Saccharomyces cerevisiae S288C: one gene and its partners. Changing the gene in region 1 together with any one later gene gives a genetic interaction. Each region holds a gene or a part of one and is shown in the gene's direction. Other genes may lie near its edges. The genes, in order: GZF3, GLN3, SCS2 and STB5.

Evidence for each region.
Region 2: mutations in GZF3 (region 1) and GLN3 together harm fitness less than expected from each alone (positive genetic interaction), as found in Saccharomyces cerevisiae (2 studies listed by BioGRID).
Region 3: mutations in GZF3 (region 1) and SCS2 together harm fitness more than expected from each alone (negative genetic interaction), as found in Saccharomyces cerevisiae (2 studies listed by BioGRID).
Region 4: mutations in GZF3 (region 1) and STB5 together harm fitness more than expected from each alone (negative genetic interaction), as found in Saccharomyces cerevisiae (2 studies listed by BioGRID).

The regions. Positions count from the first base shown.
Region 1 is NC_001142.9:208,967-213,772, reverse strand, and holds GZF3 (Gzf3p), read left to right. Parts: upstream 1-2,195; coding exon 2,196-3,851; downstream 3,852-4,806. Other genes in the region: snoRNA-binding rRNA-processing protein UTP10, read left to right, coding at 1-1,773; chaperonin-containing T-complex subunit CCT7, read right to left, coding at 4,244-4,806.
Region 2 is NC_001137.3:228,208-233,380, forward strand, and holds GLN3 (nitrogen-responsive transcriptional regulator GLN3), read left to right. Parts: upstream 1-1,587; coding exon 1,588-3,780; downstream 3,781-5,173. Other genes in the region: Smc5-Smc6 complex subunit KRE29, read right to left, coding at 1-45; FMP49 (Fmp49p), read left to right, coding at 244-624; HVG1 (putative GDP-mannose transporter), read right to left, coding at 249-998; YER039C-A (uncharacterized protein), read right to left, coding at 1,056-1,274; YEN1 (crossover junction endodeoxyribonuclease), read left to right, coding at 4,254-5,173. UniProt on the Saccharomyces cerevisiae protein: Positive nitrogen regulatory protein. Required for the activation of transcription of a number of genes (including the allantoin pathway genes) in response to the replacement of glutamine by glutamate as source of nitrogen.
Region 3 is NC_001137.3:399,071-403,054, forward strand, and holds SCS2 (phosphatidylinositol-binding protein SCS2), read left to right. Parts: upstream 1-2,064; coding exon 2,065-2,799; downstream 2,800-3,984. Other genes in the region: AVT6 (aspartate/glutamate transporter), read right to left, coding at 426-1,772; YER121W (uncharacterized protein), read left to right, coding at 3,305-3,649; GLO3 (ADP-ribosylation factor GTPase-activating protein), read right to left, coding at 3,801-3,984. UniProt on the Saccharomyces cerevisiae protein: Acts as an endoplasmic reticulum (ER) membrane anchor for cytoplasmic proteins via binding to the FFAT motif of targeted proteins. Regulates phospholipid biosynthesis by modulating the subcellular localization of the transcriptional repressor OPI1.
Region 4 is NC_001140.6:457,097-462,425, forward strand, and holds STB5 (Stb5p), read left to right. Parts: upstream 1-2,202; coding exon 2,203-4,434; downstream 4,435-5,329. Other genes in the region: ROF1 (Rof1p), read left to right, coding at 1-856. UniProt on the Saccharomyces cerevisiae protein: Binds to SIN3.

The DNA.
Region 1 (4,806 bases):
AGGGAAGAATTTGGAACCCTTTTAGAAGGTGTTCTTTTTTTCATTAATTCTGTAGAATTAACCTTTTCATGTATAACTTCCCAAGAAAATGAGGAAGCTTCCGACTCTGAAACATCATTATCAGATCACACGACTGAAATAAAGGAGATTCTATTCAAGGTGCTTGGCAATGTGTTACAAATTCTACCAGTTGACGAGTTTGTTAATGCGGTATTACCCTTACTCAGTACATCCACTAATGAAGATATTAGATACCACCTAACGTTGGTAATAGGGTCCAAATTCGAGTTAGAAGGCTCTGAAGCTATTCCTATAGTTAACAATGTGATGAAGGTTTTGCTCGACAGAATGCCTTTGGAATCTAAATCTGTTGTTATTTCTCAAGTAATATTGAACACGATGACGGCTTTAGTGAGCAAATATGGTAAGAAGCTTGAGGGGTCCATATTAACTCAAGCCCTCACCCTTGCTACTGAAAAAGTTAGTTCTGATATGACAGAGGTCAAGATATCTTCGTTGGCATTGATAACTAACTGTGTTCAAGTTTTAGGAGTCAAGTCAATTGCGTTCTATCCAAAAATAGTCCCACCTTCTATTAAATTATTTGATGCTTCATTGGCAGATAGTAGTAACCCATTAAAAGAGCAGTTGCAAGTTGCTATACTGTTGCTGTTCGCCGGTCTAATCAAAAGGATACCAAGTTTCTTGATGTCAAATATTTTGGATGTTTTGCATGTTATTTATTTTTCCCGTGAAGTTGACAGCAGCATTAGGCTGTCAGTAATTTCATTGATAATTGAGAATATAGATTTGAAGGAAGTTTTGAAAGTTTTATTCAGAATTTGGTCCACTGAAATAGCAACGTCCAATGATACAGTTGCTGTTAGTCTATTTTTGAGTACATTAGAATCCACTGTTGAAAATATTGATAAAAAATCCGCAACCTCACAATCGCCAATATTTTTTAAGTTACTATTATCTTTATTCGAATTTAGATCCATTTCCAGTTTCGATAATAATACAATTAGTAGGATAGAGGCATCCGTTCACGAAATTTCCAACTCTTACGTCCTGAAGATGAATGACAAAGTATTTAGACCGCTATTTGTTATATTAGTAAGATGGGCGTTTGACGGTGAAGGCGTTACAAATGCAGGTATCACTGAAACAGAAAGACTGTTGGCATTTTTCAAATTTTTCAACAAGCTTCAAGAAAATTTGAGAGGTATAATTACTTCCTATTTCACGTATTTGTTAGAACCTGTTGATATGTTGTTAAAAAGATTCATTAGCAAGGACATGGAAAACGTTAATTTAAGACGTTTGGTAATCAACTCTCTAACCTCTTCGCTAAAGTTTGATAGAGACGAATACTGGAAATCAACTTCCAGATTCGAGTTAATTTCTGTATCCTTGGTCAATCAACTATCTAATATAGAAAACTCTATTGGGAAGTACCTGGTCAAGGCAATTGGCGCTCTGGCTTCTAACAATAGTGGCGTTGATGAGCATAACCAAATTTTGAATAAACTAATCGTTGAACACATGAAAGCTTCCTGTTCCTCCAATGAAAAATTATGGGCTATTAGAGCCATGAAGTTGATATACTCAAAGATAGGTGAAAGTTGGTTAGTTCTATTGCCACAGCTCGTTCCCGTCATCGCTGAGTTATTGGAAGATGATGATGAAGAGATCGAACGTGAAGTCAGGACCGGTTTGGTCAAGGTTGTTGAAAACGTTTTAGGGGAACCTTTTGATAGGTATTTAGATTAGAAAAAAAAGGTGAAGTATTATGTAAATTTTTGTAAAGTAAAACACTATGCTGTTGAACGAAATCTTTCATTGAAAATATTGTTATTCATTCGTGATAGCTGCCCCTTTCTGAGTTTGAACTTAATATTTCAATTACGCTACTTCAAGTTTCAATGAGATATTATTCTGTCATCTTTCTCGTCGTTCCTAGTGATTAACGTTACTAAAATTACTGATCCTAAATAGCGGGCGAACAGAGTGAAAATTTTCTTATCTTCGCTTATCTGCGCTTATCAATCCTAATCAGTGAAAAATAAGATATAGGCTTGATAATAAGGTAGTTTGAAAGAGAACATATTGCAAGCGGTTGAAGCTATAATACTAGATATACGAATATCATTTCGGGTATTTGTACTGTGCTCTACAATTCTACTGGTAATATTATGGCATCGCAGGCTACAACTCTTCGAGGCTATAACATTAGAAAACGAGATAATGTATTTGAACCAAAATCAAGTGAAAACCTCAACAGCTTAAATCAAAGCGAAGAAGAAGGGCATATTGGGAGATGGCCACCTTTAGGTTATGAAGCAGTATCTGCCGAGCAAAAATCGGCAGTTCAATTGCGTGAATCGCAAGCAGGAGCGTCAATAAGCAACAATATGAATTTTAAGGCGAATGACAAGTCTTTTTCCACATCTACTGCTGGAAGAATGAGTCCGGATACGAATTCATTACACCATATATTACCTAAAAATCAAGTTAAGAATAATGGACAAACAATGGATGCCAATTGCAATAATAACGTATCCAATGATGCTAATGTTCCTGTTTGTAAGAACTGTTTAACCTCTACAACACCATTATGGAGAAGAGATGAGCATGGAGCTATGCTTTGTAATGCGTGTGGTCTCTTTTTAAAGCTTCATGGGAAACCCAGGCCAATTAGTTTGAAAACTGATGTAATAAAGTCTCGAAATAGGAAAAGTAATACAAATCATGCACATAATCTGGACAACTTTCGGAATCAGACGCTGATTGCAGAGCTTAAGGGTGATTGTAATATAGAATCAAGCGGTCGCAAAGCTAACAGAGTAACATCTGAAGATAAAAAGAAAAAAAGTTCGCAACTTTTAATGGGAACATCATCTACTGCGAAGATATCCAAGAAGCCAAAAACGGAGTCTAAGGAAAGAAGCGATTCTCACCTATCAGCAACAAAATTAGAGGTACTGATGTCGGGAGATTGTTCGAGACCAAACTTAAAGCCTAAACTGCCCAAACAAGATACTGCTATATACCAAGAGAAGTTACTTACGTTCCCAAGTTATACGGACGTTAAAGAGTATTCAAATTCTGCACACCAATCTGCTTTTATCAAAGAACGGTCGCAATTCAACGCAGCCTCTTTCCCCCTCAATGCTTCACATTCAGTAACATCAAAAACAGGCGCAGATTCTCCTCAATTACCTCACTTATCAATGCTGCTTGGAAGCTTGAGCAGTACTTCAATATCAAATAACGGAAGTGAAATAGTGTCCAATTGCAATAATGGTATTGCCTCTACCGCCGCAACTCTGGCACCCACTTCTTCACGGACGACTGACTCTAATCCATCCGAGGTACCGAATCAAATTAGATCGACGATGTCTTCCCCAGATATAATATCTGCTAAGCGTAACGACCCAGCCCCTTTATCTTTCCACATGGCTTCTATTAACGACATGCTTGAGACGAGAGATCGTGCGATTAGCAACGTGAAAACCGAGACGACACCGCCTCATTTCATACCGTTTCTACAATCTTCTAAAGCTCCCTGTATATCCAAAGCAAATTCACAATCCATCTCAAATAGTGTTTCTAGTTCTGATGTTTCTGGACGAAAATTTGAAAATCACCCAGCTAAAGATTTAGGTGATCAGTTATCCACTAAATTGCACAAAGAAGAAGAAATTATAAAGCTCAAAACTAGAATAAATGAGTTAGAACTTGTTACAGATTTATATAGGAGACATATCAATGAATTAGACGGGAAATGTCGAGCTCTTGAGGAACGTTTGCAAAGGACAGTAAAACAAGAAGGGAATAAAGGAGGATAGATCTTTTTTTCAAAAAAATCAGCATCATTTTTCAAATATAATATCATCATATGTATGCATATATAAATACATAGTAGCATAATCAGTTGCAAAACAGGGTTCTAATCGAATATTACGTACATTTTGCCGAAGAAATGGAATGCAGCTGCATGACATCCAACCCGGATGACGACCAATGATATGATTTGTTTCTCGGAGTTTTCATTACTTCTTTCATTTTTCTTTAGACCTAGAATTACTTTAAGATACAGAGTATACAAAAGAAAAGAATAAGGTTTTATCAATACAGTATTAACTTATTTATGATTGAAAGAAATTACCTTTGATGCAAATAACTACTGCAAAAAGAGTAATAATAAAATGTATGCAGCACATGTTTTTTAGAGTGTTAATTACATTGGCATACCTCTCCCTCTTCCAGCCCCTTGGGGAGGCATCATGCCAGCATTGGCACTTTCACTACCTTTATTAGTGATCGTCTCGTCAACAGATAAAATCAAGTTAGTAGCCTCTGTGGCACTGTTCAAAGCATTGATTTTTACTAAAGCAGGTTCCCATACGAATTTGGCAAAATTATCGCCAATATTTTCTGTTTCAAAGACAACACCATACCATTTCTCACCTTTGCTGTGAGCCAATCTTAGTTTGTTTAATATTTCTATAGCATCAAACCCAGCATTTTCACAGAGTTGCCTTGGAATAACTTCTAAAGCCTTAGCGAAGGCATTGATTATCATTTGTTGCTTACCAGCTATGGTTTTTGAATAATCTCTCAAGCATTTTGATACTTCCATTTCTGTAGCACCACCACCAGCAACGATCAGTTTATTTTGTAACGCTCTCTTAACTATCATGATTGCATCGTGCAATGATCTCTCAACCTCGGCAATAACTTGCTCAGCACCTCCTCTTAATAATAATGTACATGTTTTAGCTTGTGGGCAACCTTGGAATA
Region 2 (5,173 bases), on another chromosome or scaffold:
CACAGTTTCAAACTCTTCATTCGGTGATGAGTTCACGCTTCCCATTTGTGACACTGCCCTTTTGTGCGTCTAACAAAATTTTATCACTTTATTGCTATTTACTTGAAAAATTATATATGAATATATTTCATAAAACGATGCTGACATAATATGTAACATAAAAAAAGGAATAACCTAAAACAAATACAAAGAAGACCCCATATAAATGAATATAAATGTATATTTTGCTTGAGCAAATGAAGAATGTACTACTTCTCAAGAGTAGCTGCTAGAACTTTTTGCTGTTGTATCTTTTTCTGTTTAGCCACAGCGTACAGCAGGCCAGACAGAAATCCTAGAAAGATAGAAAAGAAGGACAAAAAGTTTTTTGGAGCGTCAAAGAACACCAATCCCGCCAACGCTATGGGCAATTTGTTCAAAGCACCAACCATAGAATACGTTGTAGAGGAAGTTACACGAACACACCAGCCGGAACAGTACGATATCCCCACGGACATGAGCCCACTGATGACCATTGCTGCCAGTGAGTCGGCGGACAAGTTCACAGACAAATTCTTTGTGGACCAATCTTCCATAATGAAGGAAAAGACTAGCAGCAAAGGCAATGCCAGAACGTTGTTATAAAACATAGTATCATAGTCTTTAAAGTTAGTCAGCCGAATTCTCTTCCGCATAATCAAAACGAACAATGCAGACGAAATACAATTGGTGAACATCCAGAGGTACCCCGGATTCAACACAAAGATGGTTGACTCAACAAGTTCCTGATCGAGATCCTCCAAAGATGATGCTTTGATTGCAATGGCCTGCTGATCGCCCCAGGTGGCCACTACAGATGAAAGGACCATCATAATAAATGACGTCAACTCCATAGAAGTGACTTTTCCGCCAAAGAAGAGGACCTCGCCATAAGCAATGAGAATGATCGTCAGATTCTTGAAAATTGTGTAGATGGGCACGGCAAGGTATTGTAAGCTCTTTGACGACGTATAAATCATCAATACGAGCAGCAAAGAAATTGGAAACCAGTTTTTTACATCTGTCCTGTTCAAAGATCAAAAATTAGCAACGCCTACAATTCGTAGGATACATAGCGTCACAGTGCACACCAGTGATTGTACAAACAACATCACAAAGTTCATGTTAAAGTTGTCCAGGTTAACCACGAATTTGTTCGTTACTGTCATCAAAATCGAGGACGCGCAGTAAGATAAGATTGAAGCCGGCCCAGAGTTGGCCACTGATTCCGTCCATTCATGCTTATGCTTGCTCATAATTACCACACCTTCTTGATCTCTTTACAGCTTTTCAACCTTCCATTCTTGTACTCTATCTCTACCTGGCCCTTTAAACATTCTTAATATGATATATTCACATTTTTTGCTCTATTACCCGGCGGACAGGTTCCCGAAAGAAAGTGACATGGCAATGCTGAGAGAGTGGAAAGAGTCATCTTGCAAGACAGAGAAAGATGTTCAAGAGTGGTAAGCTAATGTCAGCGCAGTAGCCCATCCCACAATAACAGAGTGTGTAAGAAAGAGAGACGAGAGAGAGCACAGGGCCCCCTTTTCCCCCACCAACAAACAAATGCAAGACGACCCCGAAAATTCGAAGCTGTACGACCTGCTGAATAGTCATCTGGACGTGCATGGTCGAAGTAATGAAGAGCCGAGACAAACTGGTGACAGTAGGAGCCAGAGTAGTGGCAACACCGGTGAAAACGAGGAGGATATAGCATTTGCCAGTGGATTAAACGGCGGCACATTCGACTCAATGCTGGAGGCACTGCCCGATGATTTATATTTTACGGACTTCGTGTCTCCTTTTACAGCAGCTGCCACGACCAGCGTGACTACTAAGACGGTCAAGGACACCACACCAGCTACCAATCATATGGATGATGATATTGCGATGTTTGATTCACTTGCCACAACTCAGCCCATCGACATAGCCGCATCCAACCAACAAAATGGTGAAATTGCACAACTTTGGGACTTTAACGTGGACCAATTCAACATGACGCCCAGCAACTCGAGCGGTTCAGCTACTATTAGTGCTCCTAACAGCTTTACTTCCGACATACCGCAATACAACCACGGTTCCCTCGGCAACAGCGTCTCCAAATCCTCACTGTTCCCGTATAATTCCAGCACGTCCAACAGCAACATCAACCAGCCATCTATCAATAACAACTCAAATACTAATGCGCAGTCCCACCATTCCTTCAACATCTACAAACTACAAAACAACAACTCATCTTCATCCGCTATGAACATTACCAATAATAATAATAGCAACAATAGTAATATCCAGCATCCTTTTCTGAAGAAGAGCGATTCGATAGGATTATCTTCATCCAACACAACAAATTCTGTAAGAAAAAACTCACTTATCAAGCCAATGTCGTCCACGTCCCTGGCCAATTTCAAAAGAGCTGCCTCAGTATCTTCCAGTATATCCAATATGGAACCATCAGGACAAAATAAAAAACCTCTGATACAATGTTTCAATTGTAAAACTTTCAAGACACCGCTTTGGAGGAGAAGCCCAGAGGGGAATACTCTTTGCAATGCCTGCGGTCTTTTCCAGAAATTACATGGTACCATGAGGCCATTATCCTTAAAATCGGACGTTATCAAAAAGAGGATTTCAAAGAAGAGAGCCAAACAAACGGACCCAAACATTGCACAAAATACTCCAAGTGCACCTGCAACTGCCTCAACTTCAGTAACCACTACAAATGCTAAACCCATACGATCGAGGAAAAAATCACTACAACAAAACTCTTTATCTAGAGTGATACCTGAAGAAATCATTAGAGACAACATCGGTAATACTAATAATATCCTTAATGTAAATAGGGGAGGCTATAACTTCAACTCAGTCCCCTCCCCGGTCCTCATGAACAGCCAATCGTATAATAGTAGTAACGCAAATTTTAATGGAGCAAGCAATGCAAATTTGAATTCTAATAACTTAATGCGTCACAATTCGAACACTGTTACTCCTAATTTTAGAAGGTCTTCAAGACGAAGTAGTACTTCATCGAACACCTCAAGTTCCAGTAAATCTTCATCCAGATCTGTTGTTCCGATATTACCAAAACCTTCACCTAATAGCGCTAATTCACAGCAGTTCAACATGAACATGAACCTAATGAACACAACAAATAATGTAAGTGCAGGAAATAGTGTCGCATCCTCACCAAGAATTATATCGTCCGCAAACTTTAACTCAAATAGTCCTCTACAGCAGAATCTATTATCAAATTCTTTCCAACGTCAAGGAATGAATATACCAAGAAGAAAGATGTCGCGCAATGCATCGTACTCCTCATCGTTTATGGCTGCGTCTTTGCAACAACTGCACGAACAGCAACAAGTGGACGTGAATTCCAACACAAACACGAATTCGAATAGACAGAATTGGAATTCAAGCAATAGCGTTTCAACAAATTCAAGATCATCAAATTTTGTCTCTCAAAAGCCAAATTTTGATATTTTTAATACTCCTGTAGATTCACCGAGTGTCTCAAGACCTTCTTCAAGAAAATCACATACCTCATTGTTATCACAACAATTGCAGAACTCGGAGTCGAATTCGTTTATCTCAAATCACAAATTTAACAATAGATTATCAAGTGACTCTACTTCACCTATAAAATATGAAGCAGATGTGAGTGCAGGCGGAAAGATCAGTGAGGATAATTCCACAAAAGGATCTTCTAAAGAAAGTTCAGCAATTGCTGACGAATTGGATTGGTTAAAATTTGGTATATGACCGCGTATTATCATTATCATTATTCTTATTATGTTAATAATTACTGAACGGTTGCATTGATAGATTTTCATTACCTCTGACCACAATCCTGAGCATTGGTATTATTTGTTTTGCTATTTTCAGATCAAATTACTTGTAAAAAAAGAAATGGTAGTATATTGGCATTGAACACTGGCTGTTCTATTTGTATTACTTTTATGTGTAGACATATATTATTAGGAATTTGTAATATCACTCTAATTATTATTTGGTATTCTTTCTCTATCTCCCCTGTTTCTTTTGTCTATCTCTTTCTTTTTTTTTTTTAAACGGCCCTTTTTTAATGGCATTTTCTTTTTCTTATAATGCCCACAGTTGAATAATTTAACTAGCTTTTGACTGACACATAAACAATAATGTATATGGTCCATCCAATGAAATGACAGTTCTATTGCATTTTACCTACTTGTATATTCTGGATACTGCACAAGAAAATGGGTGTCTCACAAATATGGGAATTTTTGAAGCCATATCTGCAAGATTCCAGAATTCCGTTGAGAAAGTTTGTCATAGACTTTAATAAATCGCAAAAAAGAGCTCCAAGAATCGCGATTGACGCATATGGATGGCTATTTGAGTGTGGATTTATCCAAAATATAGATATAAGCGCCAGATCTAGATCAAGATCAAGGAGTCCTACCCGTTCTCCGCGTGATAGTGATATCGACAGTAGTCAAGAATATTATGGTAGCAGAAGTTATACAACTACAGGAAAAGCTGTGATAAACTTCATATCTCGATTAAAAGAACTACTGAGTTTAAACGTCGAATTCTTGCTTGTATTTGACGGAGTTATGAAACCCTCTTTCAAAAGGAAATTTAACCACGAACAGAACGCTACTACTTGTGATGATGAGAAAGAGTACTATTCAAGCTGGGAACAGCATGTTAAGAATCATGAAGTTTATGGCAATTGTAAAGGATTGCTAGCGCCATCTGACCCTGAGTTCATCAGTCTTGTACGGAAATTATTAGACTTGATGAACATTTCATATGTAATCGCATGTGGGGAGGGAGAAGCCCAGTGTGTTTGGCTGCAAGTTTCTGGGGCTGTAGATTTCATTTTAAGTAACGATTCAGATACTCTCGTATTTGGGGGAGAAAAAATCCTGAAAAATTACTCGAAATTCTACGATGATTTTGGCCCAAGTTCAATAACTTCCCACAGTCCCAGTAGACATCATGATAGTAAAGAATCTTTTGTTACTGTTATAGATCTACCCAAAATTAATAAAGTAGCAGGGAAGAAGTTTGATCGCCTGTCTCTCTTATTTTTCAGCGTGCTATTAGGTGCCGATTACAATCGTGGAGTCAAGGGTTTGGGTAAAAACAAATCTTTGCAGTTGGCTCAATG
Region 3 (3,984 bases), on another chromosome or scaffold:
TTTTTGGTGTTTCTGAAAAGATGGCGTTGATCTATAATGTCCAATGTTGTTTTCAAATTATTGGGTTGGCTACTGTTAATAACACGCCCTTTCTTTTAGCGATTCTGTTGAGCAAAGAAAGCTGATATGATAGACAATGATACCTCACTGAAAACGAGGCTCAATGACTTTATTCGTGTTCCTGTGTTCTTTGCATATTTCAGCAATCGCTGAAATTTTTATAATACGTATGAAGCAAAAGCCCGACTCCGAAAGCTGTTGTGTGTAAATAGATTGAACGCGTTGGGAATGTAAAACGCGATTAAGAATTTCTGATTTAACGCAGGTGCTAGGTTATTAATAGTTTCTTACGCGGATATGTAGGTTCAAGGGTCTATGTACGTATGGAGGAATAGCAAAAAAAGAATGAGTATACTCTTGCTTATTTAGTTTAGCTTCAAAGCTGCGGTCAGGCAGGTGATCATGATTATTAGCCCCCAGATAAACAAGAGAAGACCTGTGTATTTGAAAATCTTTGTCGTCAATGGCACGGCTGTCTTGTGCTCAGTTCCTATAAGCTTGTAGCCAAAGAGCCCGGGCAGAATGAAAGAAATAGAAGTGGAGCCTGTGGCCCCAACAATGGCCAGTACACGGGCCAAGGAGGAAACCGAAATGGCGACAAGATATGATGCAACTAAAATGCTGCACGTTATAACAATAAAGCTCTTGCCTCTCAATGGAGTCTCCTTAGGCTGATAAATAGATTCTTCTTCAATTACCTCATTGAGGTCAAGGCTACTGTCGCGAATCAACGGAGAACTTTCGGTAGCAACAGTGGGTTCATCCGCCGATGTAGCACTTATACTTACATTTTCCTCGGCGAAGTGTTGCAAAATCTGATGGATTGAAGCTCTTGCAGGATGACACTGTAGTGGGAACGCCAGCATCACCAACAACACAATCGCTATTCTGCCGATGGTGCTCGAGACCGCTTGCGGGTACAGCATGATAATGTTTCCAATGATGTTGTCGCCGAATGTCAGGTATCCAGCACAGCCGATCGCAATATATAAGATGAGAGCCAAAGATATTGCTATCAGTGGAATCTTCATCACATGCTCGAACCGGCTTGACCTCTGCTCATTGATTATTGAAAACATATTGTGGTGACATGTGTAGGCAAAGACAAAAATTGGAAGAGTGTTTAGCACGTTCAAATCATGCGATTGTGGTGGCAGGAGGTAGGAGATCCGGCCTTTCAAGCGAAGAATCTCATCTGATGGTGCTACATAGTGCAACAACACCAAAACACACAAGTACGCTACAGAAGAGATGGCCACCATGGAAGCGTACCTCAACGAATTCAACTTCTTCAGAAAAGACAGCGGGGCCACGAAAAAAAGCATGATCAGTGAAATTTGCACGTTCCTGTTCAACAGCCAAGCATTTCTGGTCCACACAGACATTATTTGGGGCATCAGATCCCCAACTACAATCATATAAGAGACGCCCACACCAAAACACTTGATAGCGATCGCTAGGTCAAACACAATACCTAGATTTGGGTTAATCAACCGCGTCAGAGCACTGAACGAGGCCCTCCCCTGTGGTACGTATTTAGCTACACGAGCTTGTATGAACAAGCTTTGCATAGCGCACGCCCCACACAGCACTATCATTATCACTCCAGGAATTAATCCAAACGGCTTGAATGCGTACGGCATGGCCAGGATACCAGCACCGCACGCCGTGTGTAAAAGTGTCAGCACACCTGATCTAATACTAGCTACCATATGATGCACGATTCCTTTCTATGGTTATTGAGCTGTGAAACTAACCCGTCGTTCGACCATTGTTGTTCTATATACTTCTAGTTGCTGTATAGATAAGCTCTCCGATCCCCTAAACGTGCGTGGTGATCTTACTCTTTCGCCCTCGCTTTTTTTTTTTCGCTTGTTGTTTTCGCAAGGTGAATAGAATGGTTTTAGTAGCAAAGTGCATTGTTTATTGTGTGGTGTGGTTTGACGCACATTCTGTGTTAATAGTGTAGCAGAAGGGTATTCTACAATCTCCGCGAACCTAAGTATGTCTGCTGTTGAAATTTCCCCTGACGTGTTGGTGTATAAGTCTCCATTAACGGAGCAATCGACAGAATACGCTAGTATTTCCAACAATTCAGACCAAACCATTGCATTTAAGGTCAAGACCACAGCCCCAAAGTTTTACTGCGTGAGACCAAACGCCGCAGTTGTTGCTCCAGGTGAAACAATCCAGGTTCAAGTTATCTTCCTGGGTTTGACTGAAGAGCCTGCCGCAGACTTTAAGTGCCGTGACAAGTTCCTGGTTATCACGTTGCCTTCTCCTTACGACCTCAATGGCAAGGCTGTTGCAGATGTTTGGTCCGACTTGGAGGCTGAGTTCAAGCAACAGGCTATCTCTAAAAAGATAAAAGTCAAATATTTGATAAGTCCAGATGTACACCCAGCACAGAACCAAAATATACAGGAAAACAAGGAAACTGTTGAACCAGTAGTCCAAGACAGTGAGCCAAAGGAAGTGCCTGCTGTGGTAAACGAAAAGGAGGTCCCTGCTGAACCGGAAACTCAACCTCCCGTCCAAGTAAAGAAAGAAGAGGTCCCACCTGTCGTTCAGAAAACCGTTCCTCATGAAAATGAGAAGCAAACGTCCAACAGCACTCCGGCCCCACAGAACCAGATAAAGGAAGCCGCAACCGTACCTGCAGAAAATGAATCATCCAGCATGGGTATATTCATATTGGTTGCACTCCTTATCTTGGTTTTAGGATGGTTCTACAGATAATAGGGAGATTGAGGATATAGCTGTATTCTAAATATATATTTATATATGTGTGTGTTTTGCCCTTTCCTTCCTTTCAGTCTTTATTTTACTTTGTTTTTCTACAATCTTTTTTTATTGTTTCCTTCTGTAGCCTTTACAATACTAGAACAAGGAACTAAAAGATCATACTTTCCTAACTTTTTTATATGTTTTATTTTTTAAATAGGAGAATAATCGATAACTATACCACTGTTGTAACATATTACTTGTTTAATTTATTCATGTTCGGTTTCCCTAGTGTAGTAGGCGCTATCTTGGGCAAATAACTATCCGTTATTAACCATAACAATGCGGGGTCTACTAAATGAGGGGAGGGTCTTGGATGCACATTAACGAAGATCTTGCGAGGGGGTCGCGCCTAAAAGGTCCATAAATAAATGAATACATAAACAGCCACCTACTTTCAGTTTGTTTTTTGCTAGGTCTCATAGTGAACGAGGGACTCACATATTGACAATATAGTAACATGGGCTTATCGCGCTGGCACGACAAGAATTCAAGGCCAGCAGAGGAAAAGAGCGAAGAAATGCAACAGGATGCGCACTACTACGCCCTTGCGGCAAGTGATAGTTTAAATGCAAGTGTTTCTAACGAATATGGTAATCAAGTAATGAACTCGTTTTGGAAAGTGGGTATAGACTCTCCCTATGTGGACGATGAAGCAATTAGAAACAGAGATGTCGAAAATAACTTACCTTCTTTAAAGCAAAGTGTTTATAATGCTAATGAACCAAATGCTACCTCGTCTGCATTTTCAACCGCTTCATACGCACATGAAACTTTCGATTTTAGAAACCTTAAACTAAGATAAGGGGGGATGAAGAATAAGAATAAACGCACGTACAATGCATATACAACCGTTTCTATGTACCATAAATATAATTATCATATAATGAAAAATGAGAATAAAAAACAATGATAACAATGAAAAAAAAAAAATTCAATTAAAGAGAAAATTAAACTTATTTTCTTAAGTAGTCCCTTAAATAACTACCGAGTTTTTCAGCACCCTGTTCTACAACGTCTCTCAACATCTGCAATTCATCATCTGCGGAGGCATTAAAATCGATGAAACCGTTATTAGAATTACGGCCATCAAAATTCCCTGCTCCACTTCCACTACTATTGATGGGATTACCAAATTCA
Region 4 (5,329 bases), on another chromosome or scaffold:
TTCACAGAAACTATTAGATGCTTTACAAAAAGTTGCTGTAGGAAATGGCAGATCTAACCCGTCTAAAAATAATGAGAGAGGCAGAACCAAAGCTCATAATTATAAAACGCGCAGGTCTTTATCATCTTCTCCGAGCTATTGTGATCTCTTGAGCAATTATAACAACCATCCTGGAAATATTCCAGTTAGGACCGCAGTTCAGTTACCTTTAACCACCTTCAATAACGCTCCTCGAGAAATGCACCAACAGCAGCACCGACAACAGCAACAATATCTCTTACCCATAGATGAACAGAATAAATTACCTCTCCCGTATATGCAGCACCAGCCACAACCAATTGGTGTTTACAATCCTAACTATCAGCCTGGATTGAGACGTACGGTCTCACAACCTATGATTTTCTGCAATACATACAATACTCTCCCGCAACAACCTACTGCAGCACCTTATGAACGGCGTGGCGTGTCGCCTTCAGTGATATACTCCTCCAATACATTGAGCCCAATACCATACCAAAATATCGATCCATACTCTTCGAGGTCGGGTCCTGAATGCAATCACTCTAAGGCGCCTATCGCCCCAACAATGATGCCCCCAGTACACCATATACTTGTGCATGATTACCGACAACCAAAACCAGTCACAGATTCTATTAATCCTCCAAATGTAAACATAACCACCTCCACAACCAACAAGAACCTAGATGGCATTTATATTTTGCCAGCTCCTCGTATGAATCCCCCGGCTCAAACACAATACCAAATGATTCATGCGCCAGACAGCATGCAACATCCACCAACATTTAGTAAAAACAACACATCAAGCAATCCTAAATCCCACCAATACTCAAAGTAGAAGATCAGCATCCTTTCAATTGCTGAAAGGTTCACCTAAAGTACCGCTCATATTCCAAAAGGATTCTTCACTACATAGAAAGGGCAGCCAATTGTGTGTTTTTCAGAAAGGGTTTTAAAAAAACAGGAGGGTGCTTGTTCTTGTTGTTCCCTACCATCGATGGATTTCGAAAAACTATTTATAGGACCATCTGATTTTCACCTCCATCATTGTATCATATACTAACAAGCATATCCAAATTTGTAATTCTATCATGAAATTTCCAGAGAAAGAAACGCAAGGGAACTGAGAAATCAAACCTAAAAACGGTTCTTGGCATTGTTATGAAAAATGAATAAACCAGGGGGGCAAAACAATCGAGAACCCCAATCAAAACCATGTGAGATACCCACTTCGAAAGTTACTGATATTATAACTCTTGTGTCCTCTCTTCTAATACCTTACTTTCACCTTTCTCACGTAGTTAAAGTTGCAACAACACATTTTGTCCTCATCCAATTTCTTCTATAGAATATCCGTTTGCCTCCAGGAGTGAAGAAATGATAGCAGTAACACTGTGAAAGCGAGACTAAGAGAAACGACTTAAAGCTCGAAGACTTCTTGAGGATACGTTTATGTTTCTGTGGCTTCTTCTTCGCGGCGCGGTTCTCGCGTATAGGAATGTTCTAAGACAAGAAGGCATGAAGTTATGTTAACAGATTCTATATCTACTCGCTACGCATATATAAACGGATTCATCATTGAAACAATGGTACTTGTGGTAATGTGTACGACGATTTCAACCCGAATAAAAGCAAAAGTGCAAAAAAAAAACAAGAAGCGCTTAGCACTGTTGAATCATTTAGAACACTACTAATGCTGGTAATACACTCAAGAATGAAGAGTGGCTTACTCCATTGTTGATGCAAAAGTTGTAAATTTCACGAATTATTTAATGCGTTCCTTGCAACCTTCTATTTTGATGAACATCAGGAATTGAAACAAAAAAAAGGCTTCAATCTCAACGGAAAACGGGAAGAAAACTACACTCGATTATACTATATATGCCAAGAAGATTCTCCGACAGATTGTCTACTTAATTTCACATAATATATCTTGTTTTACTAGCTTATTATATAGCGTCGCATTTAATTCATGGCGCCATCACCCGCAGGGAATATAACGACAAGGCCGATACCACGGGAAAAATAGGGCGAGCGGAAATACTAAAAGAAAAATAAGCTTCCGAAATAAAACACCGACAATGAAGTTCTTGGCAAGGTTCGGTTATTTCCTCTACGTAACAAGAGGTATAATATCCGAGCGTACAGGGCTAAAAAATTAATACAAAGGTGTAAAAGAAGGACATGGATGGTCCCAATTTTGCACATCAAGGCGGGAGATCACAACGTACTACTGAATTGTATTCGTGCGCACGATGCAGAAAATTAAAGAAGAAGTGTGGTAAACAAATACCGACATGTGCAAACTGCGATAAAAATGGGGCACACTGTTCATATCCAGGTAGAGCCCCAAGACGTACCAAGAAGGAGTTAGCGGATGCTATGCTACGAGGGGAATATGTTCCAGTGAAAAGGAACAAGAAGGTAGGAAAAAGCCCATTGAGCACTAAGAGCATGCCAAACTCTTCTAGTCCGCTATCCGCAAATGGCGCTATAACTCCCGGGTTTTCGCCTTACGAAAACGATGATGCACATAAGATGAAACAGCTAAAACCGTCAGATCCAATAAATCTTGTCATGGGGGCAAGTCCAAATTCTAGCGAAGGTGTCTCATCGCTAATTTCGGTGCTAACATCGCTGAATGATAATTCTAATCCTTCTTCGCACTTATCCTCTAATGAAAATTCCATGATTCCTTCCCGATCATTGCCAGCTTCCGTGCAGCAAAGTTCGACAACTTCATCATTCGGAGGATATAACACGCCTTCACCACTAATTAGCAGTCATGTGCCTGCGAACGCCCAAGCCGTACCGCTACAAAACAACAATCGCAATACTAGCAACGGGGATAACGGCAGTAATGTTAACCACGATAATAACAATGGCAGTACCAACACACCGCAATTGAGTCTTACCCCATATGCAAACAATTCAGCCCCCAATGGGAAATTCGATTCTGTGCCGGTTGATGCATCCTCGATCGAATTTGAAACTATGTCCTGTTGCTTTAAAGGTGGTAGAACAACATCGTGGGTCAGAGAGGATGGCTCGTTCAAGTCAATTGATAGATCCTTACTGGACAGGTTCATTGCCGCATACTTCAAACACAATCACCGTCTATTTCCCATGATTGATAAAATAGCATTCCTAAATGACGCCGCGACAATTACTGATTTCGAAAGGTTATATGACAACAAAAACTACCCTGACAGCTTTGTTTTCAAAGTATACATGATCATGGCTATTGGTTGTACAACTTTACAGCGTGCTGGTATGGTTTCTCAGGACGAAGAGTGTCTGAGTGAACATTTGGCTTTTTTGGCCATGAAAAAATTTCGTAGTGTTATAATTTTACAAGATATCGAAACTGTACGATGCCTATTGTTGTTGGGTATTTATTCGTTTTTTGAGCCAAAGGGCTCCTCGTCATGGACAATTAGTGGTATCATCATGCGATTGACCATAGGATTAGGTTTAAATAGAGAGTTAACTGCCAAAAAACTCAAGAGCATGTCTGCTTTAGAAGCAGAGGCAAGATATAGAGTGTTTTGGAGTGCTTACTGCTTTGAAAGGCTAGTATGCACCTCGTTGGGCCGTATATCCGGGATCGACGACGAAGACATCACTGTGCCACTACCGAGGGCGTTGTATGTGGATGAAAGAGACGATTTAGAGATGACCAAGTTGATGATATCATTAAGGAAAATGGGCGGTCGCATTTATAAACAAGTCCACTCTGTAAGTGCAGGGCGACAAAAGTTAACCATCGAACAAAAGCAGGAAATCATAAGTGGATTACGCAAGGAGCTAGACGAAATTTATTCTCGAGAATCAGAAAGAAGGAAACTGAAAAAATCTCAAATGGATCAGGTGGAGAGGGAGAACAATTCTACTACAAATGTAATATCCTTCCATAGTTCTGAGATTTGGCTAGCAATGAGATACTCCCAGTTGCAAATCTTACTATACAGACCATCTGCATTGATGCCAAAACCGCCCATTGACTCACTATCCACTCTAGGAGAGTTTTGCTTGCAAGCCTGGAAACATACTTATACACTGTACAAGAAGCGGTTATTACCCTTGAACTGGATAACCCTTTTCAGAACATTAACCATTTGTAACACTATCTTATACTGTCTTTGCCAGTGGAGCATCGACCTCATTGAAAGTAAAATCGAAATTCAACAGTGTGTGGAAATACTAAGACATTTCGGTGAAAGATGGATTTTTGCTATGAGATGCGCGGATGTTTTCCAAAACATTAGCAACACAATTCTCGATATTAGTTTAAGCCATGGTAAAGTTCCTAATATGGACCAATTAACAAGAGAGTTATTTGGCGCCAGCGATTCATATCAAGACATATTAGACGAAAACAATGTTGACGTCTCTTGGGTTGATAAACTTGTATGACATATGTTCACCGAGTTTTGTCATGTCGTCATACTATACGGCAGCGGCTTGTTGCTGCCGTTTAATGAAACAGTTTTTTTCACGACAAGATTCTTCTATTGATTATTCACATATGTATTTTAATGAAAAATGAGTACTTTATAACACAACCCTAATGACAAATGAAAAAGTTGATTGCCATGAACTCTTAAAGCGATTTATGAGAACAATTAATTGATTATATATATATATCTTTGCAATTATGTCGTTTGTTGCAAGATGCTTCTGAAAGTAAGTAACTCTATAAGATAGATAATGCTACAAGACGCCAAACGCAAGTGAGTAAGAAATAAGAGCTGGCAGGTCTTCGCCGGAACACTATCATCAAAATCACTACAATTTAGCGGCTTAGCACAATACGCGTTTTCAACTTCCTACGCTAGCGATGACAAAATGTCTCCAAGAGGCGGAACTTGCGACGGATGCATGGAAATATCTTACGTAATGAACTTCCGTAATGAACTTCCGTAATTCAAGATCTCTTAGCATCTCTTGTTCAATCTTCAGACTCTACTAAGTGTTCTTACCAACCATTGGATGCTCATTACAAATGAATGAATATATTGCACGGAACGGAAGCGGCATGCTTTTTCCGTCTCGTGTGCTTAGTAAAGCAAAACGGAGTAGAATCGGTAAGAACTTCCTTTTTGGGTTGGAAAATCATTGCCATTGTTTGGACACCTTTCTTTTTCCGTATTGTTCGAGCACCGCGTTTCTTTTTGGGTACTTGATGAGGTAGCAGATTCCTGGAACGTGCTTTCTCTCGAGGTAACCTGCCTTGTTCCTCCTGGTGACTTTCTAAAATATAAAAGGAAAAGCATATCTCTAGTTTCGAGTTTTTTCTTCATACTTTATT